Saccharomyces cerevisiae S288C: one gene and its partner. Each later gene encodes a partner of the first gene's protein in a complex. Each region holds a gene or a part of one and is shown on either strand. Other genes may lie near its edges. The genes, in order: GTF1 and PET112. A codon is read from its position in the direction of its gene.

Region 1 (16,560 bases):
AATCAAATATCCACTGTGGCTGAATATACGTTCTGCCAGCTACCTTGTTTTTCAAAACTGGCCTGTCAACAATTTGATGAGTGACCTTGGACATGTCAATATCCTTCTTATTTTCAATTTGGTCCATAGCAGCTTCACTGATGACATTACCACCACAAGATAAGATCAAGAACTCAAGAATATCGATCGGAACTTCTCTGCTAACGTAAAAAACAAATGCAGAAAACAAAGAAGCAACAGGAGAATCGTACTTACTTGGCTGTATTAAGATGTCACCCTTGTTCTTATTGTTATCCTCGAAAGTATCTAGTTCCGTTTCCTCATTTTGTTCCTTTTCTTGTTCCTTTTCTTGTTTCTTTTCTTGTTCTTCCTCCTTTTCTGTTTCATCAGTATTTGCCTCATCGGCATTCAAGGCAGACTTTAATGTCGATGCGTCCAAACTTTCAACTTTTACGTCTTCCTCAATCTCAGTTGGGTCAAGTTTTAGTAGGCTGTCTTCTTGTCTGGATTCTAGAATATATGATGACAAACCACTTATGATTTTATCCTTTTTAAGATCCAATTTTGGCGGATAAATCAACCCACTATCGGTGTATAACTTATATAGGACGAAATGCAATAGAGTCGAGTAGAATTCTAAGAAGGTCAACATAATTCTGAAATCAACGTCACTGGGGATGTTTTCTGGAAACTTGAATGGAACTAACCATCTAACTTCTTCACCCTTAATATTGGCTTGATAATAAACACCTTTAATGGATACAAACACTTTACGAACCAAGCGTTCCTTGGCAACATAGGCTAACCATTGATTACAGATTTTCTGAGCATCATTGATAATTTTCGAGGAAACCTGGTTGGTAGAGGGCAAATTAGAGAAAAGAAATAACATATTCAAAGCATCATCAATATCCCTTATAGCATCTGGGAAACTTGGATAACGCTCCTTGATAATATGGTCTAAAGTATAACTATCTCTGTTTTCCTCTAACCTTTTAGCAGAAGAGACTTCTCCCCTACCCAAAGCCCTTGTTAGTTTCCTAGCAAAAGTCTTGTGTTCTCTAAATTTAGCCAAAACGGGCTCATGCATTAGATATTGAATATCCTTAGCATAGTAAAAAGTAGTTGGTGCAGTAGAGCCCTTGTTTGCCTTCTTTTTATTTCTTGGCTCTCTAGGATAGATACCTTTGAATATACATAATCTTCTGAAATCAGCAAGAGAAACCTGTAATTTTCTCACAGCTTGAGATCTGGTAATAAAGTTTCTTGCGTTACCTCTGGTGTTTTTCTTCTTGATTCTCATTGTATAAGTAGGATACCGCTGTTACTATACTATTTTCTACAGGAATAAAATGTATTCCACCAGCAGGATTTACTACACATCTCTAATTAACCTTCCAAAATTTTTCATTTTTTCTCATCTCATCTCATCGCAAAAAATTTTCTTTAATTTTTTCAGGCAATAATAATAGTCACCACAGACGACATGACATTATTCTGTAAATATAACATCAAGGAGGTAATAGTGACTAGCATTTAGGCTTTTAGATCGAACTATTTGCACTTACCCATAGTGCTAGAACGATGTACAAAACATGGCGTCTATGCAGAACACATACAGTGGGTGGGTTATGCCATGATGGAAGTCATCGGTTCGTATCTACGGGAGGGGCAAAGATTGGTAAAAAATTTGAAAATATGAATCAAATAAGGGATTATTTATCAAGACCTGTATGGTCCGTCCACGAATATTTAGGCATAAACACTAAAGAGGAAAAACTAGAGCCACCGTCTGCTGAAGCTGTAAAAAAATTGTTGCGGTTATCAGGTCTTCCCTTGGAAGGAGCAGATATTAAAGAAATTCAAATGCGACTTGCCAAGCAATTATCATTCATCAACAAACTCCATAACATACCTGTCGAAGGTGAAAAGCACACCAAGGAATATGATGCTCGGTTGGTGCAAAGAAATACGAAACAGCTGAACTACACAAAGCTACTTGAAGGCATCAGCCACCAAAAGCAGGATGCTGAGCTAGGAGAAGTTAGCGGATCTTGGAAAGCAACTGGACTTGCCGCGGAATCCAAAAATGCATATTTTGTTGTCAAAGAGGGACTACTCAAAAACAGGAAGTAAGACTTAGAAAAGTAACACATACGCTCTATTCTATATATTCTTTTGCCTATGAATTTTCTTGTACATGTACCACCACGATAAGGCTGAAATATTTTTCAAATGCATAAATAAGATTAAGTACATAGAAGACATAGCAGTATTTACAATATTTCGAATGAGAATGTGTCTTTTTTTAAGTGATTAAAACCACCTACCAGCAGCCTGAAGGCGACGCTGCCTTTGTTTCTCTACAGCTTTACTTATATACCATCCGTACAAGACCCCCATCATAGAGCCACCTAAATGCGCAGCGTAATCAAATGACCCCCATCTTAAAGCACAACCAGCTGCATTCCATGCCACTGAAGCCAAGAATGCTACCCAAGCCCCACCTGGGACTGGGAAAACAAACAGCAAAATTTTAGCGTGTGGGAATAGATATGAAAAACATCCTAAAACCCCAAATAGCGCTCCACTGGCACCCAAGCTAGGTCCGACAATGGCTAGGCGTGCCAGTTTTGGATACCATAACGAAAACAAAGAACCTGCAATGGCACTATTCATATATAAGGAGAAAAAATTGGATGCTCCCAACATTGTTGCGAGTGAAGTACCAAAGGACCACAACGCTAGCATGTTCATACCTAAGTGCCAGAATTCTTGATGTGAAAACGCACTTCCGATTATCGAAATTTTGCTAGTTACGTAATCCTTTTGCAGCAACATGTACTTCTGTAGAAACCTCCAGCATTTGGGTAGCTGCCATAGTCCAAATACGGCAACATTGATGCCTAATAACGCGTATACCAGATTCTTTGGATGCGTCTTAAAATACGTAAAGGGTGGAACGTGCTCGAACAAATAAGGGGAGCCAAAATATATTCCTGCCATTAAAGAGAGCCCCAAAATAGTCATAGAGCCCAGAGGATTGCCGCCGCTTCTCTGCTGCTGGTACTGCTGAAACCTGTTCAAACGTACGTATCGATTAGTAGTTTCTTCATTGAATATAGGCTTCCACCTTGATTTCAAAATTGATGTTTGAGAAAAGAACCGTTTCGGTATAATTTTCTGAAGATTTGTGACATTGTCCTCTAAGTTGGGAGCATTTTTGAGTATCGACGTGCTCTGGGATCTTCCAATATATGATACAAAAGTCCTCGAAGGTGAAACCGAAATATTACTGCGGAAAAAAATTCTTGTAGCAGGTCGAAGACCGAGCATAACAGAGCTTACACCTGACATGTTCACACTTGGGCAATTTATTACTTTTCACTGTCTGTATATGTCAGTTGCGAAAGCTGTACCCTTTTCAGTCGTGATTGCCACCTTTTCTATTTCACCGCCAATTATACTTCCAGACAAGAATTTAGGCTTTTTTCGCTCCGAAAATCCGCATTTATGAGAGTTATATGAGGGATCTTCACCAAATCCTGGCAAATATTGCTTTAAATATCTATATAAACACGTACAGATGTTTTAGGGTGACATAAAATTGATAAGCACGATTTCATGCTTCAAATTCAATAAGGTTGGACTTCTCTTCCGAGGAATTTGCCGACAAAGGCTCAAAAGACCTTTCTTGTATGGCTTTAGTGCTAGTTTCATTGGCATCGTCGATCTCAAACCAGGAACTTTGTAATAACTCTTCATTCTCGGGTTGATGCTCTGACGTGAAATCATCTAGATCATCGTACTTTTCTTCTTTGGTAGTTATTGAACTTGCAGCGGCTGTTGGCGTACTCTCTACAGAAGCAATGCTGCTCCTAGTTGCCACCGAATCGACACGACGACGAACTTGCTCAGCAACTCTTTTGCCGTCTGCCAATATACCGTCAAACATACTTCTGAGGACTTTATTTTTGTTATCAATGTTGACATGTTCGTCGACGTGAACAGATGATCGTAAAGTATTAGAAAAGAAAAGCTCGTAAGTTTCATCTGCGAGGATGATCATTCTAAATGTTGGCAAATCTATTACTTTTGGATGGGTGGGATCTAGGGCTGCATTTGCCTTTATGCTTTCCAGTTGTTTTTGTTTTACCGTTCGCTTTTCTTCGCCTTCATCATCAGACAAGTCAATCAAGTTTACCTCCTCCGCGAGATCAACTGCTTTAGCATATTCAAAAGATCTTTGTAGGAAATTGCTTGCAGCTTTTAGGTATCTTTCTGCTTGTTCAACTTTATATTTTTCCTCATCAATAGTAACCCCAGTTGGTAACTCGATTTGGTTCATAGTGGCTATCTCTCCACCGCTTTCCTTGATGATGTTTTCAGCAATATCATCTTCAATGCGCTTTTTAGTTAACAGATCTACATATCTACCGCTCTTCCAAGGTTCCGTTAGCAGTAGCAGCCCTTCCGACAACTGTAGCACTTCTTCTCTATGCAATTCACCATCGCCATCTGTATCATATAAAGAGAAAAAATAGTTTATAGCTTGTAAAAGATCAACAGTTACCAGTTTATCCAAGCCTGTTACCACATCGTTCAATGTCAACTCGCCGATATGAGCAGAATCCCAGTTATCAAATAACCTTTGCAGAAAATTCCTTTTTTGTTTCCGGAAAGCTGGATCTTTGTCCTTTTCACACGGTCTACAGGAGTCACAGAATTTACTCAAGAACTGAATGAATACTTCGAAACCCATATTAGATGATCCCGTTCCCATACTAATTTTGTAGGTTTCTATACTTTGGTAAAACATGTCATAGATATTGGACAAGTCATCACTGGACAGGTTGAAAGTTTTTGGCATATGGCGCAGTTGCGTTCTTTTCATGAAAGTCTCAATGTTTTGAAAAATACCTTTCTCATATTTGTGTCTTGCATGCATTGCCATTTCCTCGCTGATGACACTAAACTCTTTGAAAGCCGTAACTAACAGCTCTTGAAATTTCGTGATTTGTCTATATTTTATATCGCTTGAATCTGGGTGAGCACTTTGTCCCAGAGTTTGGAAATAGTGCTTAATTATGGCAATGAACATTCCATCATCATCGGCTTGTAAGATATCATCTGCATTTATCTTCAGAACTGCTAATGCCACCTGAAATAGAGTAATAGAACCGTTCATAAAAAAAATATCCATTATTCTAACAGCATATTCTAGAGGCATTGAAGTGAAAAACAAAGACAAAAACCAAGGTAAAGACACCACAGATAGTTGAATATCATGCTGTAAAATGTATTCCCAAAGAACCGGCATTCTGTCCTCTACAAAAGACTCGAACACTCGTTGGTCTAACAATGTACCGTACATCGTCTTTGAGTAATAACCTGGAACATAGATGTCACATAGATTACACAAGCACCAAAAAGCCTGCTCTTCAGACATAAAGATTAAAAATCCTGCAACAACTATATTCATGGCCTGGCAATATCCAACATCAGGGTTCTTCCACGAATAAGCTGTCAGAACATTTCTCAACCTTTGAATACCTTCTTCAGTCTGGTATGCTGAGTATTCGGGCAGCGATCTCTTCAAATCCTTCTCAATTTCGTCGATAGCTTGCGATGTTTTACCAGCATTCTCGTTTAATATCCTTTCGTACTCCCCAGAATTTGCATAACGCATATACATTGCACCTGAACATAGTTCCCAAATTTCACCTCTCATTCGATTTGGAACACCGATTCTGATTAACTTTCGGAACATAGGAGTTTGCACAACTGCCAAATTCCTTCCATTCTCTCTGAAATAATCGAACCATAGCCTCAATTTAGCCTTTTCTTTTACCATAGTAGGATTACCGGGATACTTGAAATGTTGTCCTAGACCTGCCCTGGGTACAGTTATGTCCTTTTTACCTAGAATATTTTTAGCAATTAAGAACTCCGAATATGAGGTTTCTAGAAAAGCAGGTAAAGTTTTGGCATTAGGAATATTTTCTTTCAAATTTAGTTTCAATTTGTCACAAAACTGCTCCGATCTATAACGTATACCGATAAATTGAATCAGAACCTTTGCTCCTGTGTACAAAGTTACTAGAAGAGCAAATTCATATGATTCGGATGGCGACCTCTCTACACGTTTAATGGTAGAAATATTCAGTATTAGTACGCACGATGAATGATCAAATGCATCTCGAAATACCAGAAAATGAGGTGTTAAAAACAATCTCCCGGAATACACATAAGCAGTTTTTCTCCCTTTATTGTTCACTCTATCAGAATGCCCTTTTCCATCTTTAATGGAAGTTGCAAATGAAACTTCTGCATTCGTATCTTCCAAAATGTTTTCATTAGCTGGAAGTTTATATTTTAATCTGAATTTCTCATCTCTGGTTAATGTTGGAGTGAAACTGTCTGCCAGTTTATCCAAAAAGGGTGCCTTTTGACGTAAAGAATCAAAAAATGACATATCCTATCCTTTAACTAATAATTGTATCAACTCTGAGGTTGTTCGGTGCTTTAATTGATGGATCAGTGCTTTCAAAATGTACAATTTCTTAAATGTTGTTGGGCCCTTACCAAGCAGATTTGTTCAGGCCTTTTCTTATTGAAGTTCTTTTTCCCAGTTGCAGGAGTCGGCCGACCTTCTGAAATAATATGCTGTGCATTAAATACTAACGACGCTGACAGAGAACGCACTAAATTTATTCAAATATGTATCATAAGATTGGTACAAATAACTATGCTACTAACCTTTATTGAGAGAAATTCCTTCCTCTATGGCTGAACTAATTATATGATTCATCAACTCCGTCATGGATTCAAAATCGTGGACCGGGTTAGCGCAAGAGTATATGATACGCAGTGTTGTTAAATAATGCGACTTAAAAAGCTGATTGTATGTGCCTACGTCAATTCCATTAAGCCAACCGTGTGCTAGCGGATAGAAGAATAGACCAGCATATTTTCTAAAGCGGTTTTGCGTTCCTTTTTCTCGATCCTTGCCTAGTTTTCTAGATTTCCATACTGTTTTCGTCTTCTTTATCATACTTGTTGACTCTTGAACTTCAACAAGCCTACTATTATGATGGCTTTGATCATCCCACGGTAAACGATTTGTTGGAAAATCAAACTTGGGCTTGACAATAGTAGGATCATCAAGCCCTCTCAACTCTCTTGCAGAAAGACCCAGAGCCGACAATAGTGACATCCTTTGCTGTAACGACAGTTCTGAATTGAATAGAATATTTATAGCGCCATTCACCTTCTCTGGAAGGACGACCAGTATGCTTGTTAGAGCGTTTATTCTCCACTGCTCGAAAAGCGGTTCATCAAATTCATTATTCAAGCACACAATGCTTGACAGAATACCTTGTGCATAATAGCCAACCTCTAACTGAAAATCCGCCTTTTGCCGTATCAATTTCACTGTTTGCTTCAGAAGTGGTATCAATGGAGCTTTTCGAGATTCCCCAGTTTTTTCGTATTCTTTCATTAAATCTTTTAAAAATACAATTCGTTTAACAATCTCCCGCTCATCGTTCTCATCTTCATCATCGCTATCACTGCAGTCCAATGTAAGGCTTTGAACATGACCCGAGACCTCAGTAATCTTATCCTTACCCACATCAGTTTGGGTATTGCATATGGATGGATTTTTTAAAGATTGGAAATCAATGATTTTATCATCGCTATTGCTTTCGAATTTGACATTCGGTATATTGATTTTAAAATCACTTTCGTACTTCAGATGACCGCCTGATAAAAGCTTGGCAATAAACATCGCACGCTCCCTTGCCTCACGTTCATTGCTACCTAAATGTTTGGTCACGCCATTCAAAAACCGCTCATCGTGTGCTATTTCCTCTCTCTGGGAATGATTGAGATTGTGCACTGCAAAGAGTACAAGCAATTCACATGTCTTTGTGTCTACTTCCTCATCTGTAAAATCAGCAAATTTACTTACCAAAGCGCTAACAAACTTCGTGGAAGAGTGGTTGCTCATCAGACGTACTATCACTTCCTTCAATGGCAGCGACTGTATTTCAAATAATACGGACAGACTTATGATTTTATCGAGATCAAACCGCCGCAGAATTTTCCTAACATCGTTCAAATTTTCTAAAGTCACGATAACTTGAATATATGGTAATAAAAACTTAGCAATCAGCCTCTTTTGATCTATCAGACTACTAGCAGATATGATTTTCTGAAAAGAAAAGAAATACGACTCTTTCAATAAAAATAATTCGCCTAATAACATATCTGCCGCTAGCACTGGGTTAAGCAAAAATGATGAAACTAACCATTCCCCTAAAAACCCAGGTGGATCTGTTTCATTACTCTCAAGTAGAAATTTCCACTGAAGCCGAAGGTATCCCAAATATTTCGCCATATCAATTCGGTTGGCCAACACATTAAATAACTTGCTCCCAAAGAAAAGGGCCTTAATGCTATCACGGTCTGCTTTGCTAGTAGTGCTTGCCTTTAAATAAAAAGTCAAACATCCCGGTTCAAAACTGATGATGTCTTCTAAAATTTCTTGGTATATGCGTATCTCTTGCAGTCCATCGCGGCCACTTATTGTCCTTGAGAAGGTGACAATTTGGCATAAAAATGTAAACGATTTAGAAGCTAGCCGTCTCAATATCACCTTCGATCTTTCTGGTAGTGATGGATAAACTGGAATTACGAATTTTATGAGAACCATCGAGGCATCTAGATCCACCGGTTCGCGAGGATAGGAATCTAGTTGTATTAAAGCTTCATGTATTTGACTGCTGTCAAGCCCTTGTTTCAGCGTTTCTAAAACCATTTCATGAGGAATTAAATGCGTATAAAGTAGCTCGATTCACGTTCTATTAGCGGCAACCTGTCCACAAGTACTTATTGTCTGCATTTCTTGGTGTTTGTTTTTATTTTCTTTCTTTTCAAACTTCACGGGTCTTTACAGAAAAGAGGTAAACAAACAAAAACAAGAACATGGATACAAAGCCCATCCACGTAACATTGCGCATTTGAAGCGAGAAGCTTACCACAATTAGTTAAATTCCTTTTGGAGGAATATAGACACTCTATCATCAGAAACATCCGAATTATTTTAGTTAGGACACGTTTCACAGGAGCATCTGGCTATAGCATATTTTTCTTTTCCTTCTAACTGCGAGCATAGTAAAAAGTTGACCTAAACCCAACATTTTTGAGGCTAACCTAGTAATAATTTAACCTAGGCACGAAGTGCTTATAAATTAAGGAATGATGGTAAAACAGGAGGAACCGCTGAATGAGATTAGTCCGAATACTCCGATGACTAGCAAGTCCTACCTTTTAAACGACACGCTTTCGAAAGTACATCATAGTGGCCAAACTAGACCACTGACCTCGGTGTTGTCTGGAGACGCCTCATCCAATTCTATTGGCATACTAGCAATGCATAATAACATAATACGTGACTTTACAAAAATTGCAAGCAATAACATAGACTTAGCCATTGAGGATATTACCACTGTTGACCATTCATTAAATTCAATATATAGCCTATTGAAGAGCCATCACATGTGGGGCCATATAAACTCCACTGTTAAACAACATTTGATGATAATTGTTAAACTAATAAATAATAACGCATTAGGATTGGCCTCCTCTGAAATTATTTTTCTTTTCAATGAAACGAATTTATTTCAAGCTCATAGTCTGAAAAACATTCTTCTAGCAGACTTCAGTACGTGGAACGACTACTATCTTTCAAATCTGAAAATATTAGCGCTGCAGATTATACTGAAAAGAAAGCTAGTAGACGAATACTTACCGCATATATTAGAACTATTTTCCCATGATAAAAGATATCTTTTGAAAGACCCTAACCTCAAAGCTCACGCTCTCACAAAAATCGTGCTGAGCTTTTTTTCTGTCACGACGAGTTGCAAAGTTCTATTCGGGCTAAAATTTCTACAATATATCAAACAGTTCAAATTACCTTTTAAAAAGTTCATTAGCAACATTACCGTCGAGTGTTTTAGCAAAAACCTTCTTCATAAAAATTATTTGGAGATGGGACCTAATAAAATATATTTAAATTCATTTTACTTATCCTATTCCATGCTGTACGATGGATTGGATAAAATAATGCTTCTAGACATTTTAAGTTACGAAGAAACTACTGAGGTACAAAGAGCGATAAAAAGTAAAAAAGAATTCAATGAATACTGCAACATGAGTGAAAACCGTCTTCTCTGGTCCTGTATATCTGTCGATGATTTGAACGTAATACTCGAAAATGCAACGAATTTTCTACAAAATAAAGGGAAACATATATCCGCAACATTAAAATGTTTAGTCTGTCTTTGGTCTACTATTCGCCTAGAGGGATTACCTAAAAATAAGGATATATTGAGGCAGTTTGATTGTACTGTTATTTATATCAACTCAAATATTAAATCCATTAATGACGAATCTGCGGCGGCATTATTATCCGAACTTCTGGGAGTTTTATCAGAAATTTGTATCGATTATAAAGAGCCTAAACGACTGTCAAATATTATCAGTGTCCTTTTCAATGCTTCTGTTTTATTTAAGAGTCATTCGTTTTTGTTAAAGACTGCTAATTTGGAAATCTCAAATGTTTTAATCAGTAATGATTCAAAAACATCTCATCGTACTATACTGAAATTTGAAAAATTTATATCTAGTGCTCAGAGTGCCCAGAAAAAAATTGAAATCTTTTCCTGTTTGTTCAATGTATATTGCATGCTACGAAATGATACGCTATCATTTGTTTTTGACTTTTGCCAAAATGCATTCATTCATTGCTTTACACGCCTAAAAATCACAAAATTCATCGAGTTTTCAAACAGTTCAGAAATTATGCTTTCAGTACTGTATGGAAATTCATCTATCGAAAACATTCCTTCCGAAAATTGGTCACAACTAAGCAGAATGATATTTTGCTCACTGAGGGGTATCTTTGATTTGGATCCTTTAGAGCTAAATAATACGTTTGATAAATTACACTTGCTCAACAAATATGAGCTATTAATACGAATAGTGTACCTATTGAACCTGGACATGAGTAAACACCTGACAACGAATCTATCGAAAATAACTAAGCTGTACATAAACAAATGGCTACAAAAATCAGATGAAAAGGCCGAGAGAATATCGTCATTTGAAATGGACTTCGTTAAAATGCTATTGTGCTACTTGAACTTTAATAATTTTGATAAGTTATCCATTGAACTTTCACTCTGTATTAAATCAAAAGAAAAGTATTACTCCAGTATTGTGCCTTATGCCGACAATTATTTGCTAGAGGCTTATCTGAGCTTATATATGATTGATGATGCCCTCATGATGAAGAATCAACTACAAAAAACAATGAATTTATCAACGGCGAAAATAGAGCAGGCGTTATTACATGCAAGTTCTTTAATAAATGTCCACTTGTGGGACTCTGACTTGACAGCGTTTCAAATATATTTTGGAAAAACACTGCCTGCTATGAAGCCTGAATTATTTGATATCAATAACGACCACAACCTACCCATGTCACTTTACATCAAAGTCATACTTTTGAACATAAAAATTTTTAATGAAAGCGCGAAATTAAATATTAAAGCTGGTAATGTTATATCCGCAGTAATTGATTGTAGAAAAGCACAAAATTTAGCATTATCGTTGCTCAAAAAGAAGAACAAATTGTCACAAGGATCCAGGCTAGCATTACTAAAAAGTCTATCGTTTAGTTTTTTCCAACTCATTAAAATACATATACGCATTGGTTCTGCCAGAGACTGTGAGTTCTACAGTAAAGAACTGTCTAGAATTATTTCTGACTTAGAGGAACCTATTATCGTCTACAGATGTCTGCATTTTCTTCACAGATACTATATGATTACAGAGCAAACCTGTCTTCAAAATATAACTTTGGGAAAAGCCAATAAGGCATTTGATTATCTTGATGCTGAGGCAGACATTACAAGTTTGACAATGTTTCTGTATGATAATAAGGAATTTGTAAAGTTAGAGCAGTCGTTGGTCCTATATTTCGGTGACCAGCTAGAAAAAACATTCCTACCTAATTTGTGGAAGCTTCACTTGGGTAAGGATATTGACGACAGCATTTGTCTGTCCGAATATATGCCCAAAAATGTAATCAATAGAGTACACAATATGTGGCAAAAAGTAATGAGCCAATTGGAGGAAGATCCTTTCTTCAAAGGTATGTTTGAATCTACCCTTGGGATTCCCTCTTCTCTGCCTGTTATTCCTAGCACGATGCCCAACAACATTTTAAAAACTCCTTCCAAGCATAGTACAGGATTGAAGCTTTGCGATTCACCAAGATCGTCGAGCATGACGCCTAGAGGTAAGAATATAAGACAGAAATTTGATAGAATTGCTGCTATTAGTAAATTAAAACAGATGAAAGAACTTTTGGAGAGTTTGAAACTAGACACATTAGATAATCACGAACTGTCCAAAATTTCCTCCCTTTCTTCATTAACTCTGACTATCCTTTCAAACATAACTAGTATCCATAATGCTGAGAGTAGTTTGATAACTAATTTTTCGCTAACTGACTTGCCAAGGCATATGCCTTTGTTATTCGATAAGGTATTGAATAATATTGATAATAAAAATTACCGAGAATTTCGCGTTTCATCACTAATAGCTCCGAACAATATATCCACAATTACAGAGAGTATTAGAGTATCTGCCGCCCAGAAGGACTTAATGGAGAGCAACCTTAATATTAATGTTATAACTATTGACTTCTGTCCCATAACTGGAAATTTACTTCTATCCAAATTAGAACCGCGACGTAAGAGAAGGACGCATTTAAGGCTACCGCTAATACGATCTAATTCAAGAGACCTCGACGAAGTTCATCTCTCATTTCCGGAGGCTACAAAAAAACTACTTTCTATTATCAATGAAAGCAACCAAACGACGTCAGTGGAAGTTACCAACAAGATTAAAACAAGAGAAGAAAGAAAATCTTGGTGGACCACAAGATATGATTTGGATAAAAGAATGCAACAATTGTTGAATAACATTGAAAATAGTTGGTTCAATGGCGTTCAAGGGTTTTTTAGCCCTGAAGTAGTCGACAACTCGTTATTTGAAAAATTTAAAGATAAATTTTACGAAATTCTGCATCAAAATCTTCCTTCCAGAAAACTCTATGGCAATCCGGCAATGTTTATAAAAGTTGAAGATTGGGTAATCGAATTGTTCTTGAAACTTAATCCGCAAGAAATCGATTTTCTTTCGAAGATGGAAGACCTGATATACTTTGTTCTTGATATTCTTCTCTTCCATGGTGAAGAAAATGCTTACGACGAAATTGATTTCAGCATGCTTCACGTGCAGTTAGAAGAGCAAATAAAGAAATATAGGGCAACTATGACAACTAATAGTATATTTCATACATTTTTAGTCGTTAGCAGTTCATGCCATTTATTCCCTTGGGAGTGTCTTTCATTTTTGAAAGATTTGTCTATCACACGTGTTCCGTCCTATGTTTGTCTGAATAAACTTTTATCGCGTTTCCATTACCAACTACCCCTTCAAGTAACTATTGAGGACAACATTAGTATGATATTAAATCCGAACGGAGATTTGTCCAGGACTGAATCTAAATTCAAGGGTATGTTCCAAAAAATAATCGATGCAAAACCTTCCTCTCAATTAGTGATGAACGAGAAGCCGGAAGAGGAAACACTTTTGAAAATGCTGCAAAATTCTAACTTATTCGTTTATATAGGGCATGGCGGAGGTGAACAATATGTAAGGAGTAAGGAGATTAAGAAATGCACCAAAATTGCCCCCAGCTTTTTACTGGGCTGCTCTTCAGCAGCGATGAAATATTACGGCAAGTTAGAACCTACTGGAACAATCTATACTTATTTGCTGGGAGGATGCCCTATGGTACTAGGTAATCTGTGGGATGTAACTGACAAAGATATTGATAAATTTAGCGAGGAACTTTTTGAAAAGATGGGATTTCGCTGTAATACTGACGATTTGAATGGTAATAGCCTATCTGTTTCATATGCCGTCTCTAAATCTAGAGGTGTATGCCATCTACGTTACTTGAACGGCGCAGCTCCTGTTATTTATGGGTTACCGATCAAGTTCGTATCATAATTGTTACATGTACTGGCTGTTTCGAAAAGATTTCATATAGGCATTGAGAAAAAGCATGGGAAATCCGATTTTGTTCTTATATCCAAAAATAATAAGTAAAAGAACCTGGGATTGATAAAAAAGTTTCATCTTTTTAGTATAGTTCATAATAGTAATTTTCATTTCATTATTGGGCACCTCATGGTGCGATACAAATATTTTAAGATTGCTTATATAATCACGAACACCTTTACGTACCATCCCAAACTACCACACAGTTGTTAGTTCACATACCATTGACACAAAGTCATAGCAGGAATTAAAAACACGAAACATCTATATTCTATAGGAGTTGCATTATAAAAATATGAATAAAAAACGGTGCTTAGAAAATAAACGGCGAACCATACAGGCTGTTTCTCAAAAGAGAACAAAAGTTAAGGCGTAACAATTAAGAATAAATCGACTGGTTTAGCTTTATAGTATCATTATTAGTTGAATCACCATCATCTTCTTGAATTCCACCACTCATAAATTGGTTAGTCATTAGATTACCACCGTGATTTGCACCCTTTTTTGAAAACATTAAACTATTCAAAGAACTAAATGATACGTTTTTCTTGTGCTTTCGGATAGGATGCACCCTAGAAGCTGTTGAACTAGAGGTAGTCAAATTTTGGGCGCTATTATTGCCCCGTTTATAGAAAGCAGGGTGCGCATGAGTCTTTTCAGCAGTCAAACAAGGAACATTGCCTGTGCTGTTCGTTTTCTTTAAGGTTTGGTATGGTGATTCGCGGTTGATCGTTGTGACGGACGAATTCATGGTAGGTGAAGAAGGTGCTGTAGCAGACTGATCGGCAGCAACAGTTTTAACATTTTGGTTATTGACCATCACCTTAGGTACAACGGGAGCGTTCGCTGTAATTGAATTACCTGCAGATGTACTTCTCATCGCTGTGACATTAACACTTGAACTTGAAGTTCTTGATAAAGGTTGCATTTGTAAAGGTTGCTGTTGTTGTCGTATTTGGTCGTCATTATAACATGGGCTAGAGCCTTCAGAGTTTCTCTGGGTGTAATTATTATTGTTGTTGTTCCCATGAAGCGGAATGGCAAAATAACCGCCTGAGCTGGATTCTGAATTAGAGCTACCTGGAGAATTCACTGGTAGGGATAGGGATGTGTATGAAAATCCAGGTAGGGAACTTGTTTGTGAAATATTTCTTTGGTGGCGCAAATTAGTTGTTGGATTAGTATTATTATTTGCTGTTGATTGTTGGAGCATCATCCCATTACTCGTTATTGATACAGCCGGGTTATACCCATTATACATGCTTTGAGGTCTTGAGCCCGATGAATAAGAAGGAGTTGTGTTACCTGAAGTGGCCATGTAGTCAGAGTATTGGTGCGGAGATTGTGCAGGTCTTCTTTCCACCGTAATCAAATTGCCATAATCGTCAATAGCAGGTGTATTAACCTTGGATCTAAAACCATTTCCATCAAAATCTGCTAGTGAATTGTTCTGAATATGAATATACTGAGGTTTCTCCGCCCTGCCCTTTAGGTTGACGGACGTCGTAGTACCGTCTTGTAATGTGAATGTGCTATCTGTTAAACAAGGTGTATGGGAACCTATGTTCACGCTGTTTCTTGACATATGTCCCGCCTTGAATCGGTGTGATTTCATCACACGGTCTTCGATAAACTTAATTCTATCTTTAGTGTCATTGAAGCTCGTTAAATTTTTCAAATCTTGGACCCAACGTTTAAAATGTTTCAATTCCTCTTCAGAAGGCTCTGGAGATACTATTTTAAAGGTCCAAGTCACATAATTGTTCGATTCCTTTTGAGCTGCAGCGTAAAATTGGTCCAGTTCACTTGATTTCGTATTCTTATTTTTGGGCTTACTTCCCTTCAAAAACTTGTGGAATGGGGCTTTTGAAAATATTTTTGCAGTCTCGTGGCCATATTTTGGTAAAGACGCTTGTGAAGAGCCAGATAAATAAGTGCTAGAGCTAGATTTTCTAACATCAGCGTTTTCATTAAGAGTGGGTTTACCTACAAGAACAAATTTGGTGGAAGATGCATCCTTTAAGGTACAATCATTTAGCGGAATACTCATAATCGGTGCCAAATAGCTCTTTTTGCGAATACCGCGAATACCATTTGCACCAGCTGTACCACCAGTTGTCGTACTGCTGTTATGTACATCACTAGCCTGGCGATGATGATTGTTAGCTTTGGCATTATTAGCATTGGCATAAGTGTCTGCAATGGAAACGGAAGAAGAATAAGCTGAAGACTTCGTGGAGTTAGGGGTAGAAGAAGATAGGTTATAAAAATCGCTACTCTGGAATTCATGAATATAGTTTGATGTTAGAACAAAATATCCTTGGTGGTAAGTGGGCAACAATTCCGATTTCTTCA
Region 2 (16,760 bases), on another chromosome or scaffold:
TTATTCGATGCCTTATTCACATTTGTCCGTGCCATGGCTCCATTCACCCCATTTTTGTCAGAAAGCATTTATTTGAGACTGAAGGAATACATCCCAGAAGCTGTCTTAGCAAAATACGGTAAGGACGGAAGATCAGTCCATTTCTTATCTTACCCAGTGGTCAAGAAAGAATACTTTGACGAGGCCATCGAAACTGCAGTTTCTAGAATGCAATCCGTTATCGATTTGGGTAGAAACATTCGTGAAAAGAAAACTATTTCCTTAAAAACTCCATTGAAGACTTTGGTCATCCTTCACAGTGATGAATCATACTTGAAGGATGTAGAAGCCTTGAAAAACTACATTATCGAGGAATTAAATGTTCGTGATGTTGTTATCACCTCCGATGAGGCAAAATATGGTGTTGAGTATAAAGCAGTTGCTGATTGGCCTGTATTGGGTAAGAAGTTGAAAAAAGACGCAAAGAAGGTTAAAGATGCCCTACCATCAGTCACTTCTGAGCAAGTACGGGAATATTTGGAAAGCGGAAAGTTGGAGGTTGCCGGTATTGAACTGGTTAAAGGAGATTTGAATGCTATTAGAGGCTTGCCAGAATCTGCTGTCCAAGCTGGACAAGAAACCAGAACCGACCAAGACGTGTTAATCATCATGGATACAAATATTTACTCTGAACTAAAGAGTGAAGGTCTCGCAAGAGAGCTGGTCAACAGAATCCAAAAATTGAGAAAGAAGTGTGGTTTGGAAGCCACCGACGATGTTTTAGTGGAGTACGAATTAGTTAAAGATACTATCGACTTTGAAGCCATTGTCAAAGAACATTTTGATATGTTAAGCAAGACCTGTAGATCCGACATTGCCAAATATGACGGCTCAAAGACAGACCCAATTGGTGATGAAGAACAATCTATTAATGACACCATTTTCAAATTAAAAGTGTTCAAATTATGAAAACAACTCATATAAATACGTACAAATTTTTCTCTACTCGAAGTGATATAGATGTATATGTGTAAGTTTACGTTTAAGTTAGAGTCATGTAATGCTAACTGTCTCCACCGATAATGTTGTATAATACCCGTGAAATCATAGCACATGATATATCATCACCCGGAGGCCGGTTATTTTCGGCGGCGGCAAAAATATTTGGTATAATTATGGAAATACAAAAAGGGGAACCATTAAAGGTTGAGGAGGGGATTGATAAGAGAATCTAATAATTGTAAAGTTGAGAAAATCATAATAAAATAATTACTAGAGACATGAAGTCTACATTTAAGTCTGAATATCCATTTGAAAAAAGGAAGGCGGAGTCGGAGAGGATTGCTGACAGGTTCAAGAATAGGATACCTGTGATTTGCGAAAAAGCTGAAAAGTCAGATATTCCAGAGATTGATAAGCGTAAATATCTAGTTCCTGCTGACCTTACCGTAGGGCAATTTGTTTATGTTATAAGAAAGAGAATTATGCTACCCCCTGAGAAGGCCATCTTCATTTTTGTCAATGATACTTTGCCACCTACTGCGGCGTTGATGTCTGCCATATATCAAGAACACAAGGATAAGGACGGGTTTTTGTATGTCACTTACTCAGGAGAAAATACATTTGGCAGGTAGTCTTTTATATGAAAAGAAATGAAGCGTTAACATCTAAAATCGAAATTATAGGGACTCATTAGCCATCTATTGTTCCAGTATAAGAATGTTTACATAAAAAATTCGAAAAAAAAAGATAAAATAAGGGAAAAATATATATATATTCATTAAGAAGTTTTGTACACAACGGAGCCAAGATTTCACCAGTATTTGGAGACAAATGTGAGCACGTTATGGTATTTACTTACAGATTACGATCTGTTCAATGCATCAGAAATAGGAAGAAATTCAAAATAAAATAAAAAAAATATTAGGAAGGAGTGAAAAAGCAAATAAGATGATACAGTAAGGTGGAGTTAATGTCTTTCTTCTCCAAAATGTATTCTTGCTAACCAAAAATCTGATTCTCTCTGACCTGTTCGTTTGTCTTATGTATGTAGAATCAATTTCTTACAGAATTTTAAATACTGTATAGTGGAAAAGAATAATAAATAAATACTCGACTATATTTACCTTTATCTTAAGGAAAAGTTCACTCGATATTCTTAACTTTACCGTCTAGTAAGGCCTCTTTATTACATTAAAATATACACGTACATTACCCTGCTATCTATATGTCGAACATGAATTTTTATTCTTTGTAGAAACAAATCCCCAAATTATTGCCGCTGTTCTTAACGTACTTTTCAATTGGATCATTATCAATTTTGTATTCCTTCAAGTGAATGATATCGTTGTAGGAAATAATGTCCCTAAATTTCCTGTCCGATTTGTACCATTCGTGAATTAACCAGGTCATTTCTTTATTAAATACGGAATTATCGGAATCTGATGTCTCGATTAGTTCTTTTAAAATATAGTACATTTTGTTGAAAGAAACACCCGCTGTTATGAATATAGAAACTATCGACCCTGATACAATATGTTCCTTAGGTAGTGTTTCGTAGAAAAAATTACAGACAATGGGAAAGAGTTCGAAAATGGGGAAAATGAATTCAGAATCCTGAACATTTTTACCAATTTTAATCAGTACATTAGACAGTAAGTTGATGAAGTTCATTGAATCTTCTTTCTTTCCGGTATTATTAAATTCCATCCTCAAAGATTGGAATAGCTCATCCCACTTGGCCATAATTACTTCATGGTCCCTAAAATCTGCTATCTTGAAAATGAATAGGGCAATTTCATGGTAACTTAAGGGTACAGCAAAATCATTAAACAGCTCACTTGTGCTCAATATTTTACCATCTAGAGTTTTGATCAGCTCATCTTTAATGGCTGAATCTATTCTTGCGTCTGTATACACGAGCGACAATATATCACCTTGAATACCAGCAACTTCACATGCATCTTGGATCCTACTAGCTAATTGTACAATTCTTTGTTTCTGGCTTAATGGTGACACACTGTTGCAAAAACCATTGGCGCGTGAAAGAAACTCAATTCTTTCAAACAATGTGATGTCAAAATTCGATGTAGCTAAACGGTAAAGAATTTCAGCAGATTCGAAAAATTTAGATCTTCTTGAATAATAGACCCAGAGTATATTAGATATCTTCAATGAACTACCTGCCTTTTCCATTAAATAAGGGAGTATGAATGGAGTTTCAATATCTAATAGTTTTTCCTCTCTGTTCTGAGACACAAGCCAATCATACATATGATAGTGGAATAATCTATCGTTATATTTTAGGGCGGCTTCATAACTTTTTTGTCTCAGTTTCACTTCATCGTCATTCGATATCGAAATTTGGTTTTGAGTTTTTGATGACTGTTTTTTTTCGGCAAGTTCGTCTACTTTTATTAAAGTATCAAAAACTAGGTCATAAACTAAGATACGTTTGTCGTAATATTGTTTCCTATCATCATTTTCTAAAAATCCATTTGCCACATATTGACAAGCTAGTTTGCCTTTGTCCATAGAGTTGGCAATATTCAATAAGAATTCAATAGATTTTGGGTAATAATTTACACTCAGCATCATTGATACAGCTTCTTTCAATTTCTCGATAGAAAGATCATCCACAATTTGTTCAAGTAAAGCAGTAGCATTTTTCAGGTGATAGTTTAGAGAATCATAGTTACGCAAGCCAATTTCTTTAGCCCTTCTAAGATGTTCAATGGCTCTAAATCCTAATATATCACTTGCAGAGCAGAATGATCCACAGCGTTCTTGTAAAGCTGTTGCGGTATACTCTATCGACGCACCTTTGGTGATATTCCTATTGATGATGGATAATAAAATTTCTCTAATTAATGATTTTGTTTTGTCATTTGGAGCAAATAAATCTTTAAAATCTAGTTTGACTAAATCTTTTTGGACGTCCAAGCTTACAAAACTGATTATATCCTTGAAACCAAGGTATTGGTTGTCGAATCCTTCGACTTCGCTTTCCTCGTATAAAACGTTCAAGAATGATAGACCTTCCTTTATGGACTGTACCATTTTGATCATCGCATTAATCGCTATACTTTCCGCTTGGTTTGCAACTTCTTCTGTTTTATCAATAACCCTGCCGTTAGAATTGTTCGCTAATACGTAGGGAGCTGATATTTGGGAAATTGAATCACCATAAGTGATGAAAAATTCATTTAAAATGTTAATTGAAGATAGATAGTACTCGATACAATCCTTGGAAATAGAAACCTTTGATATTATGTTCCTATTTTGTGAAATTTCATCACTTTTTAGGTTATTAATAGATGGAGTGATTGGATCAGAAGAAGAAATGAAAGCATGGGATGTCACCCTATTATCTGTAAAAGTCATGAAGACATGTCTCCCCCAAATATCTCGAAGTAGTCTGGTAATCAATAATGCAATACCGTAAAATCTGGGGGATAATATTACGTCATCTAAGTCAAAATCTTCCTTGTTTGCAGGGGAGGGTTTACTAAAGCCAGTTATTGATTGTTGGAGATTAGTTGTTGCGGTTGATAAAGTGGGCTTTGACAATAAAGAGGATACTGTAGATACAGAATAACGGTTGTAGACAGGTTTGATGTCAACAACGCCAGGAATACCCATAGTTAAAAAAGTCAGGGCATTAGATCTTAATTTTTCAGATTTATTTGATTTGCAAGTAACAAACAATGCAGTGGAACAAGCTTCCGCGGCACCATAATTTAAGACGAATGGCAGCGGATTATCGATTAGATCCTCAAAAATTTCATCAGGAGTACGATATTTATAAATTTCGATAGAAGTGCTCGTCAAAACTGCTACCCTTAAAGTTTCTGATGTGTACTGTGTCGCAAATTCGTTAGCAAATCCTTGTGGCTTTGTCGTTGCATTAAACAACCCCGATAAGGGAATAATTTGTTGAACTGGGCCCGCAGTTTCCAAAAACGTGGCATTTTCAACGTACTTACCGTGTGTTTTCAAGATACCATAATCTGGAACACTAACGAAAAGCTTATGTTGTAAAGTAACTGGCTGTTGTTTGACAGTTTTAGACCCTGCGGTAGCGGTCGTTCCAGTAACAGATGAGTTCTCTTTTTTTTCTTGTTGATGAGTTTGCTGAGATGACTTGATCACAGCGGAAAAAAATATGCCTGGGGAAATAATTGTACTTGCTTTTGTAGTCTCTAGTAATACAGATGATTTCTTTTGGAATTTTAAGAGGACTGGTTCGGAAGACATTAGATTTGAAAAGAAAGGAAAGCTTCTCTTCGCCTGTTCCTGTTGTTGATGTAGTAATTCTTGTTGGATGACTTCAGGAGTTACAGAACTAGGGGGGAACTTGATCGATTCTAACCTCAAAGCTTCGATGTTAAATCTGCCCATGGAACCATTAAAGTACAAACGCACACCACCTACTGTTAAAGCAACTAAAAACAAATTGTTGTTTTCTTCTGGTGCAACAGAGCTTATCTTGACAATTTTTAGGTATTTGGGGCCCAAAATCGGTGCTGCCCTTGCCGTCGTGGTACCTATGATCCTACTGATGTAGGCAGGCTCAATTGACATGGGTCCTTCCAGTGATTTTTCTGTTATTACGTATGCTCTAATGGTGGATTTGGAGGATAATGAATAGATGATTCCTCTTTGTTGGTCAATAGTTAGTTGCGTGATGGTCTCTTGAGAAAATCCGCCATTACCGTTAGAATTATCTTCGAACAAAGCCTGAATAAAATCAACACCTGGAATCTGCGATAACATGTTAGTAGGTAGAAGACTTAATAGGGCAGACTTTGTCAGACAGACCTTACTACATTTACTATTGAACCAGTCATCGGAACCTGAGTAGTGCAACTCCCAGATATTCAGGCCACTGGCTTGGCCTGCGAAGAAAATTCTACCCGATCTTTCATGAGACACAATGTCTATTACATCAATGCCTTGTACAGGGACTGATAGATGTGTATTGAATACACTGAGTTCGTTGGTGGCTTTGTCTAAGGAAATAGCAAACATGAAAAGCTCCATTGTCGTGCTTATCAAAAGTAGATGCTTCACGGCAGGCACAAAGGTGTTTGGCTTAGGTCTTACCAAGGCGACTTTTTGAATGGTATGCTTCATATCATCTACCACCTGATACTCATTGTCATTGTTAATATTCCAGAGTATCAGTTTATTATCAATAGTTATCCAACATCGATTTAACTCCGGGAAAATACCCATATCAGTTTTTGTCTGTGAAGTGGAAAATTCATGCAAAATCTCGTCCGGAATGTTGAACACATCTTGCTTTTCAAATGGAGTAAACGCTCCTAAGCCGTTTTTTTCTCTGCTGAAGTTATAATCTACCCCGCTGTTATAATAAGATCGTTCGTCGAGTACGGGAGTGTTACTATCTTTATGTTGTAGATGGTCAATGTACTTTCCCGCTAAGTCCAGGGGCTTAGAAGTCCCCATCCCGGAAACACGAATGTGCTCATTCATGTTGGACATATTAGGATTGATGCTGCCAGAGGTCGCCCCCATTGCGCTTGCCCTCATGAGTGGGTTGGACCCGGTAATTGGATATGAGTTTAATATGTGTGTAGGTTGTTGTTGCGCCTTGGTTGCAGATGAGGCCAACTCATTCAGTCCATTCCTGGGTACTTCTTGATGATTCGTTAAAGGGTACGATCTGCTATCTGAAAACGTTTCACCGGCAGCAGCGGGCCCATTGTTGTGGAAAAAACTTTGAAACATGAACAACCGCTAGAAAGAGAAGTAATAAACGCACTCTGCTTTTTTGTCCGCTTGTCAGATCCTAGGTTCCAGTAATTCTCCGAAAGAACTGTTCACTAATATGTTCAGAATTCTACAATATTAATGTCCCATCTCGAAAAATTGTTTTTTTTTTTACAAATAAAGTAACAATCCTTCGTGCAACACGATATAGAGTACATTGAAAGCGTGTCACAAAGAACACATCCATAATCATGGTCCATTGCAAACATTTCAAAGTAAAGAAGAGGATATTTGGGTCTTAGAATCTCATTGGAAACAATCCTCGTTTACTAGAGACGTTAATTCCACTTTCAAAAGCCCTGAAAGATTAACTTTCTGATTTTAGGTTTATTATTTTTTTGTTGTATGCCCTTGTTAAAAATTTAAATAACCCTTGTTTAGATAGGGTTTAGTTTTCCCTTTTGTTATGATAATAGTAGTTATAGTAGTAATAAGCTTGACGTGATGTACTTAGTCGTACCACCTAGTAATAGTGTTATTGTTAGCATTCCTGTCCAAAAAGACCAGAGTAGGAACTAGATATGTTGCGGCTTGCACGTTTTTATTCTTTGGCCAGAACCAAAGCCATACATAGTCACGGTGCACCCTTCAGGCCGGAATATGCATTGAAGTGTGGATTGGAGATTCATACGCAATTGAACACCAAAAACAAGCTTTTTTCACAATCAACGAATAGCGCCACATCTCTAGTGGATGCACCAAACCATCATACTAGTTATTATGACATAGCTCTACCGGGAACGCAGCCGGTTTTGAATCTGGAAGCAATCTTGTTTGCCATGAAACTATCCTTGGCACTGGGTTCTCAAGTGAATAGCATATCTCAGTTTGATAGGAAGCATTATTTTTATGGAGATCAACCTCAAGGCTATCAACTGACGCAGCACTACAGGCCGTTTGCTCGGGGTGGGAAGATCAATCTGTCGAAGGAATTGGATGATATCGATGAATCAGCCAAGGAAATCGGTATCTTACAGTTGCAGATAGAGCAGGACACGGGGAAGTCACACTATACAGAGACAGATAAAGACGTTATTACTTTGGTTGATTTAAATAGGTCGAACGTCCCGCTTATCGAATTGGTAACTAAACCAGATTTCAGTGATATTAAACAGGTTAGAGCGTTTATTAAAAAATATCAGAATTTGGTACGTCATTTGCACATTTCCTCTGGGGACCTGGAAACGGGCGCCATGCGAGTGGACGTTAACCTCTCAATTAATGAATATGCACGCGTTGAGTTGAAGAATTTACCCAATACTAGTTCCATCATCAATGCAATCAAGTACGAATATCAGCGGCAAGTTGAGTTGATTTCTGTGGGTGACACTAGCTCACTGATGGAGCCAGAAACAAGGGGCTGGACAGGCTCATCAACGGTGAAGTTGAGAAGCAAAGAAACCACGATCGATTACAGGTACATGCCTGATCCAGAATTGCCGTATATCAACCTCGCACCAGACGTTATCAGTGGTGTGAGAGGGTTGATGCCCCAATTACCGGACGATATAATGAGAATTCTTATGAAGAAACCCTATCAATTATCATTGAAGGACGCCAAGATTCTGACTTATAATAGTAACCAAAACGATATGTACAATCATGAGGCGTTGAGATCGTACTACTTAGACACCTTCCGTGAATTTTCCAAGCTTGCTGGTGAACGTAGTAACGCGAAATTACCTACGAATTGGATAATCCATGAATTCTTGGGAGATTTGAACAAGCTACAAATTCCATTGGCCAAAGCAAAAGAAATTTTGCCTCCTCCGGTTTTCGCCCAGTTTTTGAAGTTATTGCATGAAGAGGTTATATCCGCAACTAGTGGTAAAATGTTACTGTTTCACATATTGGAAAATTTCGAGCAGAGTAACTGCCAAGATTTGTCTATTCCAGATTTTTCAAAACTAATCGAGAAATTTGAATTGCATGCGATTAATCAGGTCGACCCTCAAGAATTGATGGATCTCTGTAATGATGTCATTGCACAGCACACAGATGACACTTTTATACGGAACCTGGTTACTGGTAAAAAGAAGTCCTCTTTAAAATTCCTAATTGGACAAGGAATGAGACGAAGCCAGGGACGTATAAAGGCAAACGAATTCGAGAAAAAATTCAAAGAGATCTTAAATATTCAATGGTAAAATATAAACGCCGCGTGTAAATAGGAACCGTGCATAAATAATAACAATAATAGTAATACTAATGATAATAATATACATAAAAATATACGTAAACATCTCAACTCCAAACGCTCATGTCAGTATTCCAAATGCCAAAGGGTCTTGATGATGCTGGTTGAGAGGATGAAGATACGTTCATGTGGTTAGACCCCCATCCTAAAGAAGAATCATTCATCAAGAGTGATGCGGACGAAGACATGTTCACTGGTGCCGTCGAAAAATCCTCCCTTTGCGATGGGGATGGTGAATGTTGCGGTGGGTTTATGTTGGTGCCAATAGAGCTAGATGTGGTGGAGGACATGAGCAGGGTTTGGCTTGCTGGTAGGAAAGATACAGTTGGTGGAGAATGTAGATCCGAGATAAGCGAACTGGACGTGGGGCCCACGGGTAAATCATTGATTAAATCGGCGGATGTCGATGTTGCAGTGGTTGGGTTGGTGTGCATAGAGTTGTTTGATGATGACGACGATAAATTTGTGGAAGCTGCCGAAGTTGACGGCAAAATGTATTCGAAGGTGCTTTGGTTGTATGGAGAGGATGAGTTAGAAGTGGAAGAAGTCAACGAGGGAGAGGAGTTCGAGTTGAAGTACCTCGTGGAGAACTGCGTCTGGTTGTAAAGATTGTTGTTGTTGTTGCTGTTGTTGTTGTTGTTGTTGTTGTTGTTGCTGTTGTTGTTGTTGTTGTGAGCATTGACGTTGCTATTGTAGTACAGTTGAGGGTACGTTTGCTTCAGATGTGCAGTAACCATTGGATTGGACGTATACTGGGGATATTGCTTGTATTTTTGCTGGTTCAAATTATTGTTAGCGCTAAATCTGTGGTGTTTCTTTTGGGTATTCATATATGGTACGTCATTAGCTCTGTTCTGGTTGTAAGCCCCGTACGGGGCCGATGGAATAGATCTGTTAATGGATTGTAGACCAGCTTGGTTATGTGGGTTTACACTGCTGTTATTGTTGTTGTTGTAATAGTAATAGCTACCAGTGTTGTTGTATTTCATGTGATTGTAATGGGGGTGGTAGTTCGACTGGTGGGAGGGCGCATTGTGAGACTGGAAGGAATTACTGGACTGATGAAGGAGCTTCAAACTGCGGTACTCCAACAAGTATTTATCCATGTCCTCGTTCTGCGACAAAAACGGAATGCTGATTATCTGGCCTGGCATATATACGATGTCTTAGTGAAATAGAGCCAAAAAAAAAAAAGAAAATTATTACAAAAAACCGAAACCCAAATGATAAATAATAATAGTAACAAATAATAATAATGGAAATCAAAAAAGTCGTATCAAATATTAAGCGAAGGATGGAAGGTACCTCTTGTTCTAGGTGCCACGATGCAGAAAAAAAGATCAGGAAAAACGAATGGGAAAAAGAGAAAAAGCTGGAAACGGGATTCTCTTTTTTCTATGCTGCTTTTGCTTTGCACTATTGGATAGTGTCTGTAGTATCTAAACTGATTGCCTATCTCTTCTGTGCTGGCATCTTATTCGATGTATATAGTTCTTAATATCTAGTGAAAAATTTTTGACAAATTTCTCGAGACCTGAATCTTCGACACGCAAGAAAAAATTGAAAAATTAACGTGGACCCTGGGAAGCGATGAGCTAGAGAAGGTAAATACAGGGTCGTACGACGCAGAAGCATCCCAAAATTGTTGCAACAAGTATGGAATGTCACATTAGAGATTTCCCAATCTTACATGACTCTTTATTGCTGTTTTGTAGATAGCCTTCCATGTAAAATGCATTTGCCGTCACATTCTGTGTGCGGTTGCTGGGTGCTGTAAACAAGCTAAAGAAATTTCGCTATCGAACTTAAAGAACAACGCAGTACACTAGTTGGGAGTGAAAACAGTATCATAGAGTGTGTATGGGAGAGAGAAAGAGTTAGATACTAGTAGTATGGAAGGTGAACAGTCTCCGCAAGGTGAAAAGTCTCTGCAAAGGAAGCAATTTGTCAGACCTCCGCTGGATCTGTGGCAGGATCTCAAGGACGGTGTGCGCTACGTGATCTTCGATTGTAGGGCCAATCTTATCGTTATGCCCCTTTTGATTTTGTTCGAAAGCATGCTGTGCAAGATTATCATTAAGAAGGTAGCTTACACAGAGATCGATTACAAGGCGTACATGGAGCAGATCGAGATGATTCAGCTCGATGGCATGCTGGACTACTCTCAGGTGAGTGGTGGAACGGGCCCGCTGGTGTATCCAGCAGGCCACGTCTTGATCTACAAGATGATGTACTGGCTAACAGAGGGAATGGACCACGTTGAGCGCGGGCAAGTGTTTTTCAGATACTTGTATCTCCTTACACTGGCGTTACAAATGGCGTGTTACTACCTTTTACATCTACCACCGTGGTGTGTGGTCTTGGCGTGCCTCTCTAAAAGATTGCACTCTATTTACGTGCTACGGTTATTCAATGATTGCTTCACTACTTTGTTTATGGTCGTCACGGTTTTGGGGGCTATCGTGGCCAGCAGGTGCCATCAGCGCCCCAAATTAAAGAAGTCCCTTGCGCTGGTGATCTCCGCAACATACAGTATGGCTGTGAGCATTAAGATGAATGCGCTGTTGTATTTCCCTGCAATGATGATTTCTCTATTCATCCTTAATGACGCGAACGTAATCCTTACTTTGTTGGATCTCGTTGCGATGATTGCATGGCAAGTCGCAGTTGCAGTGCCCTTCCTGCGCAGCTTTCCGCAACAGTACCTGCATTGCGCTTTTAATTTCGGCAGGAAGTTTATGTACCAATGGAGTATCAATTGGCAAATGATGGATGAAGAGGCTTTCAATGATAAGAGGTTCCACTTGGCCCTTTTAATCAGCCACCTGATAGCGCTCACCACACTGTTCGTCACAAGATACCCTCGCATCCTGCCCGATTTATGGTCTTCCCTGTGCCATCCGCTGAGGAAAAATGCAGTGCTCAATGCCAATCCCGCCAAGACTATTCCATTCGTTCTAATCGCATCCAACTTCATCGGCGTCCTATTTTCAAGGTCCCTCCACTACCAGTTTCTATCCTGGTATCACTGGACTTTGCCTATACTGATCTTTTGGTCGGGAATGCCCTTCTTCGTTGGTCCCATTTGGTACGTCTTGCACGAGTGGTGCTGGAATTCCTATCCACCAAACTCACAAGCAAGCACGCTATTGTTGGCATTGAATACTGTTCTGTTGCTTCTATTGGCCTTGACGCAGCTATCTGGTTCGGTCGCCCTCGCCAAAAGCCATCTTCGTACCACCAGCTCTATGGAAAAAAAGCTCAACTGAAACAGATGTATAAATATCATATAATCGTATTGTTTTAAATCATTTCTTTATACCATCTATATAGTACTACTAGTATTTAATGGTGCCGTTATTACCCGCGCTTGATTTTCCTTTTTTTTTTTGATCAAAAGGATGGAACAGGCTGAAAGTAAACCAAAAGGATCAAAGTGCAAGCAAAGGTGCCACAGAAAAGTTTATCAAAAAACCATACCTAGCTGTGAGAGTTTTAGACTCTGTTTTGGTGACTGCATATCTATTCATAAATCGACACGAACTTTTCGTGCAGGATACATAATAAAAATAGCATGGCGGTAAATCCTGAGTTAGCACCGTTCACCCTCTCGAGAGGAATCCCCAGCTTTGATGATCAAGCTTTGAGCACCATCATACAGCTTCAGGACTGCATTCAGCAGGCTATTCAGCAGTTGAACTACAGTACCGCAGAGTTTTTGGCCGAACTGCTCTATGCTGAATGCTCCATTCTCGATAAATCAAGTGTTTACTGGTCCGATGCGGTATATTTATATGCACTTTCGCTGTTTCTGAATAAAAGCTACCACACTGCGTTCCAGATATCCAAAGAATTCAAGGAGTATCATCTTGGTATCGCTTACATATTCGGGCGTTGTGCTTTACAGCTTTCGCAGGGAGTTAACGAAGCTATCCTCACTCTTCTCTCAATAATAAATGTATTTTCTTCGAACAGCAGTAATACGCGCATAAATATGGTGTTGAATTCTAATCTCGTCCATATTCCCGATTTGGCCACTTTGAATTGCCTGTTAGGCAATCTTTATATGAAACTGGACCATTCTAAGGAGGGAGCATTTTATCATTCTGAAGCATTAGCCATTAATCCTTACCTTTGGGAATCTTACGAAGCGATTTGTAAAATGAGAGCTACCGTGGATCTCAAGAGGGTTTTTTTCGACATTGCAGGGAAAAAAAGTAATAGTCATAATAATAATGCAGCTTCATCGTTTCCGTCTACATCACTATCGCATTTCGAACCTCGTTCACAACCTAGCTTATATTCAAAAACAAACAAAAACGGCAATAATAATATCAATAATAATGTTAATACACTGTTTCAGTCGTCTAATTCTCCCCCTTCTACATCGGCATCTTCTTTTTCTTCCATTCAGCATTTCTCAAGGTCACAGCAGCAACAAGCGAACACATCAATAAGGACCTGCCAGAACAAAAATACTCAAACTCCTAAAAACCCTGCAATCAACAGTAAGACGTCTTCTGCGCTACCAAATAACATTTCCATGAACTTAGTGTCTCCATCCTCCAAACAGCCTACAATAAGCTCGTTGGCCAAAGTTTATAACAGAAACAAACTTTTAACGACTCCTCCATCGAAACTGTTAAATAACGATAGGAACCACCAAAATAACAATAATAATAATAATAATAATAATAATAATAATAATAATAATAATAATAATAATAATAATAATAACATTATAAATAAAACAACTTTCAAAACTCCAAGAAACCTATATTCCTCAACAGGAAGGTTAACAACTTCCAAGAAAAATCCAAGGTCTTTAATAATCAGTAACTCAATACTAACGAGTGATTATTCAATTACGCTGCCTGAAATCATGTATAATTTCGCTTTAATATTAAGGTCGTCATCACAATACAATTCGTTCAAGGCAATAAGACTGTTCGAGTCTCAAATCCCATCTCATATTAAAGACACAATGCCATGGTGTCTAGTGCAATTAGGAAAACTTCATTTTGAGATCATTAATTATGATATGTCCTTAAAGTATTTCAATAGATTGAAAGACCTACAACCGGCAAGGGTAAAAGATATGGAAATTTTTTCTACTTTGCTGTGGCATTTGCATGACAAGGTTAAATCTTCAAATTTGGCAAATGGGCTAATGGATACAATGCCTAATAAGCCCGAAACATGGTGTTGTATAGGTAATTTGCTATCATTGCAAAAGGATCATGATGCCGCAATAAAAGCCTTCGAAAAAGCTACTCAGTTAGACCCAAATTTTGCATACGCGTATACTTTGCAAGGTCATGAACATTCTTCCAACGATTCTTCGGATTCTGCCAAGACATGCTATAGAAAGGCGCTAGCTTGTGATCCTCAGCATTACAATGCATATTACGGATTGGGTACGAGCGCTATGAAATTAGGTCAATATGAAGAAGCGTTGTTATATTTTGAAAAGGCAAGGTCAATTAATCCCGTCAATGTTGTGTTAATCTGTTGTTGCGGTGGTTCTTTAGAAAAGCTGGGCTATAAGGAAAAGGCTCTACAATATTATGAACTAGCATGTCATTTGCAACCGACTTCCTCGCTATCCAAATATAAGATGGGCCAGTTGCTCTATTCCATGACAAGATATAATGTTGCTTTGCAAACTTTTGAAGAATTGGTGAAACTCGTTCCTGATGATGCCACAGCCCATTATTTGCTGGGTCAAACATATAGAATAGTTGGGAGGAAAAAAGATGCAATCAAGGAGCTAACTGTTGCTATGAATTTGGATCCAAAGGGTAACCAAGTTATCATCGATGAATTACAAAAATGTCATATGCAAGAATAAACGCAGGTTGGCCAAAACATAACAAATTGAAACATGTTAAATGTTTTCATAATTCTTTTTGTTCTTCGTTGTTTCATATTTATTTTTAAGTTAATGTAATAGTAATAGTTAATAATAATAACGTTAATGGTAACAATAATAATAATATATATATCCAGTAATTTGAAAGAAGAGGACATCATGTCTGCGGTTCCTGCGATGTACTTCTTGATAGTATCAGTGTCTAATTTGATTGTATTAATTCGTAAACTTTTTATTTTTATATACTTTATATCACTATATTATGTTCTATTAAATATTAATTATTAAGGTGTTTAAGTTGGTCAAGAAGTAACTAATGATTGCAGTTCTCAAAGTCTGCCACCAGGGTATTCAAATGCTGAACTTTCCAGGTAATCGCTGGTCTCAAATTGATCTTGTTCGATTGGATAATTAGAATTTCTTTTATTTTGGGTGTCATCCCATCCAAATTGATCTCTTCCCTCTTCCTCTTCAGCATCTCTTAACTGGGTTTGTAACCTAGCTTCTTCCAATAGCGTCTGTGCCTTGCTTAGAGGTATCGTTGGTGTGGCATATGAACTAATGACAGGGACGCTTGTATCAATATCAATAGTGGCCTTTATTATGGCTGACAGCCATGCCTTCATTTCAGATTTATTCTCAACTGCAAAATAGTGAACGCGAGGTTCTGTAAAGGTTAGCCCCTTTTTGGACCCCGGTTGCGGAGGGACCAATTTGAAACAGTATTTTCCTTTTCCTAAGCTCGCAGCGTATAAGGAAATGAGCCTATCATCATCACTGGCAGGTAAGACCCTATGTGCCGTTATATCTATCAGGCCACGCTCCTTCTCATCATTGGTATTCGTAAAATAAGAAAGCCTTGTTCCATGAAGTGTGAAAAACCGTTGTTTCCAAGTCCCCATAGCACCGGTACCTTTTTTGCTCATCCAGCCTGAACAGTCCGCAGTTTGCATAGATTCCTTTGCTGTGATAGAGCGTATACCTTCGGTAAAAGCAGATGTTTGTTGCTTTTTAGCATTCGACCTGGGAAGTATCGATTTGGTAGATTTTTGGGTAAGTTCACTGGGAGATCTTTTGAATTCCTTGCTTCCTACAAATGATTCTTTGGTGCTACTAAATAATTTCTTTTTGCTTTTTTCTTCGGAAGAGCCATCTTTGGAGCTACTGTTCTTGTGTTTGTGCTTGCTCTTGTGCTTGTGCTTGTGCTTGTGCTTCCCTTCACTTGGTTGTGATACTGCCTCCTTATTATTACTACTAGTAGGAGTTTCGCTATGCGCTAAAGCAATATTGGATTTGGAATTTATAGGGCTTAAAGAAGTTTTCAAGGGGCTGGTAACTAACGAGTGTTTTCTACTATGGGAGTAAGATTGTGATCTTGCATGCGAATAGGAATTCGACTGAGAACGAGAATGGGAAGTCATCTTTGCGGGATCGATAGTGAAAGTTTGTTTGGTTGGTGACGTTGGATTAGACTGACTTTTTGAAGAAAAAAAAGATAATATAGAAGAGTTTCTCCTATGCTTTTTCATTTCAGAAAGTGAGGCATCTCTTGAATGTCCGTAAGACGACTTTCTGCGTGCTGAGTCAAAAACTGCTCTGCTAGCTTTTGAAGGTTGTTTCGTTTCTTCTTCGTCGAAACTTGACTTGACTGGCGATAGCATTGAAATCCTGTTGAACAAATCAACAAATGAGCTTCCGGATTCCGTCCTCTTATGGTTATTGTAAACAACGGAATTTCTGTTCGGATGATGAGATGTAGCATTTGAAGATATATTTGAAATTGCGGGTAGAGATTCATCTGTGTTAACCGTGTTAATAGAAGGTATAGTAGCAGATGTCAGTGTTGTTTTCCTAGAGTTCGAGTCATGACCATTCATGGCAGGGAATTTGAACTTGCCCGTTGAATTATCGGAAGAT

What was found.
Region 2: the proteins of GTF1 (region 1) and PET112 are in contact, whole or in part, in a crystal structure (PDB 4N0I), measured with the Saccharomyces cerevisiae proteins. Residues at the interface, in NP_011616.3 of Saccharomyces cerevisiae: Arg79 (codon at 1,819), Leu80 (codon at 1,822), Ser81 (codon at 1,825), Gly82 (codon at 1,828), Thr130 (codon at 1,972), Lys131 (codon at 1,975), Gln132 (codon at 1,978), Leu133 (codon at 1,981), Asn134 (codon at 1,984), Tyr135 (codon at 1,987), Leu138 (codon at 1,996), Gly141 (codon at 2,005), Ile142 (codon at 2,008), Gln145 (codon at 2,017), Lys146 (codon at 2,020), Gln147 (codon at 2,023), Ala149 (codon at 2,029), Glu150 (codon at 2,032), Leu151 (codon at 2,035), Gly152 (codon at 2,038), Glu153 (codon at 2,041), Ser155 (codon at 2,047), Gly156 (codon at 2,050), Trp158 (codon at 2,056), Ala160 (codon at 2,062), Thr161 (codon at 2,065), Leu163 (codon at 2,071), Lys168 (codon at 2,086), Ala170 (codon at 2,092), Tyr171 (codon at 2,095); in NP_009473.2 of Saccharomyces cerevisiae: Asn43 (codon at 7,422), Ser47 (codon at 7,434), Gln48 (codon at 7,437), Ser49 (codon at 7,440), Thr50 (codon at 7,443), Pro60 (codon at 7,473), Asn61 (codon at 7,476), His62 (codon at 7,479), His63 (codon at 7,482), Thr64 (codon at 7,485), Ser65 (codon at 7,488), Tyr66 (codon at 7,491), Ile69 (codon at 7,500), Leu71 (codon at 7,506), Leu78 (codon at 7,527), Asn79 (codon at 7,530), Leu80 (codon at 7,533), Glu81 (codon at 7,536), Ile83 (codon at 7,542), Leu84 (codon at 7,545), Phe109 (codon at 7,620), Gly111 (codon at 7,626), His163 (codon at 7,782), Val171 (codon at 7,806), Ile172 (codon at 7,809), Thr173 (codon at 7,812), Leu174 (codon at 7,815), Val175 (codon at 7,818), Asp176 (codon at 7,821), Leu177 (codon at 7,824).

The regions. Positions count from the first base shown.
Region 1 is NC_001139.9:680,160-696,719, reverse strand, and holds GTF1 (glutamyl-tRNA(Gln) amidotransferase subunit F), read left to right. Parts: upstream 1-1,584; coding exon 1,585-2,136; downstream 2,137-16,560. Other genes in the region: mRNA-binding ribosome synthesis protein NOP7, read right to left, coding at 1-1,303; rhomboid protease PCP1, read right to left, coding at 2,317-3,357; GTPase-activating protein MDR1, read right to left, coding at 3,623-6,475; TEL2 (Tel2p), read right to left, coding at 6,755-8,821; ESP1 (separase), read left to right, coding at 9,262-14,154; ASK10 (Ask10p), read right to left, coding at 14,585-16,560. UniProt on the Saccharomyces cerevisiae protein: Allows the formation of correctly charged Gln-tRNA(Gln) through the transamidation of misacylated Glu-tRNA(Gln) in the mitochondria. The reaction takes place in the presence of glutamine and ATP through an activated gamma-phospho-Glu-tRNA(Gln).
Region 2 is NC_001134.8:65,231-81,990, reverse strand, and holds PET112 (glutamyl-tRNA(Gln) amidotransferase subunit PET112), read left to right. Parts: upstream 1-7,295; coding exon 7,296-8,921; downstream 8,922-16,760. Other genes in the region: isoleucine--tRNA ligase ILS1, read left to right, coding at 1-948; ubiquitin-like protein ATG8, read left to right, coding at 1,260-1,613; NUP170 (Nup170p), read right to left, coding at 2,224-6,732; YBL081W (uncharacterized protein), read right to left, coding at 9,019-10,125; ALG3 (dolichyl-P-Man:Man(5)GlcNAc(2)-PP-dolichol alpha-1,3-mannosyltransferase), read left to right, coding at 10,864-12,240; anaphase promoting complex subunit CDC27, read left to right, coding at 12,546-14,822; BOI1 (Boi1p), read right to left, coding at 15,173-16,760. UniProt on the Saccharomyces cerevisiae protein: Allows the formation of correctly charged Gln-tRNA(Gln) through the transamidation of misacylated Glu-tRNA(Gln) in the mitochondria. The reaction takes place in the presence of glutamine and ATP through an activated gamma-phospho-Glu-tRNA(Gln).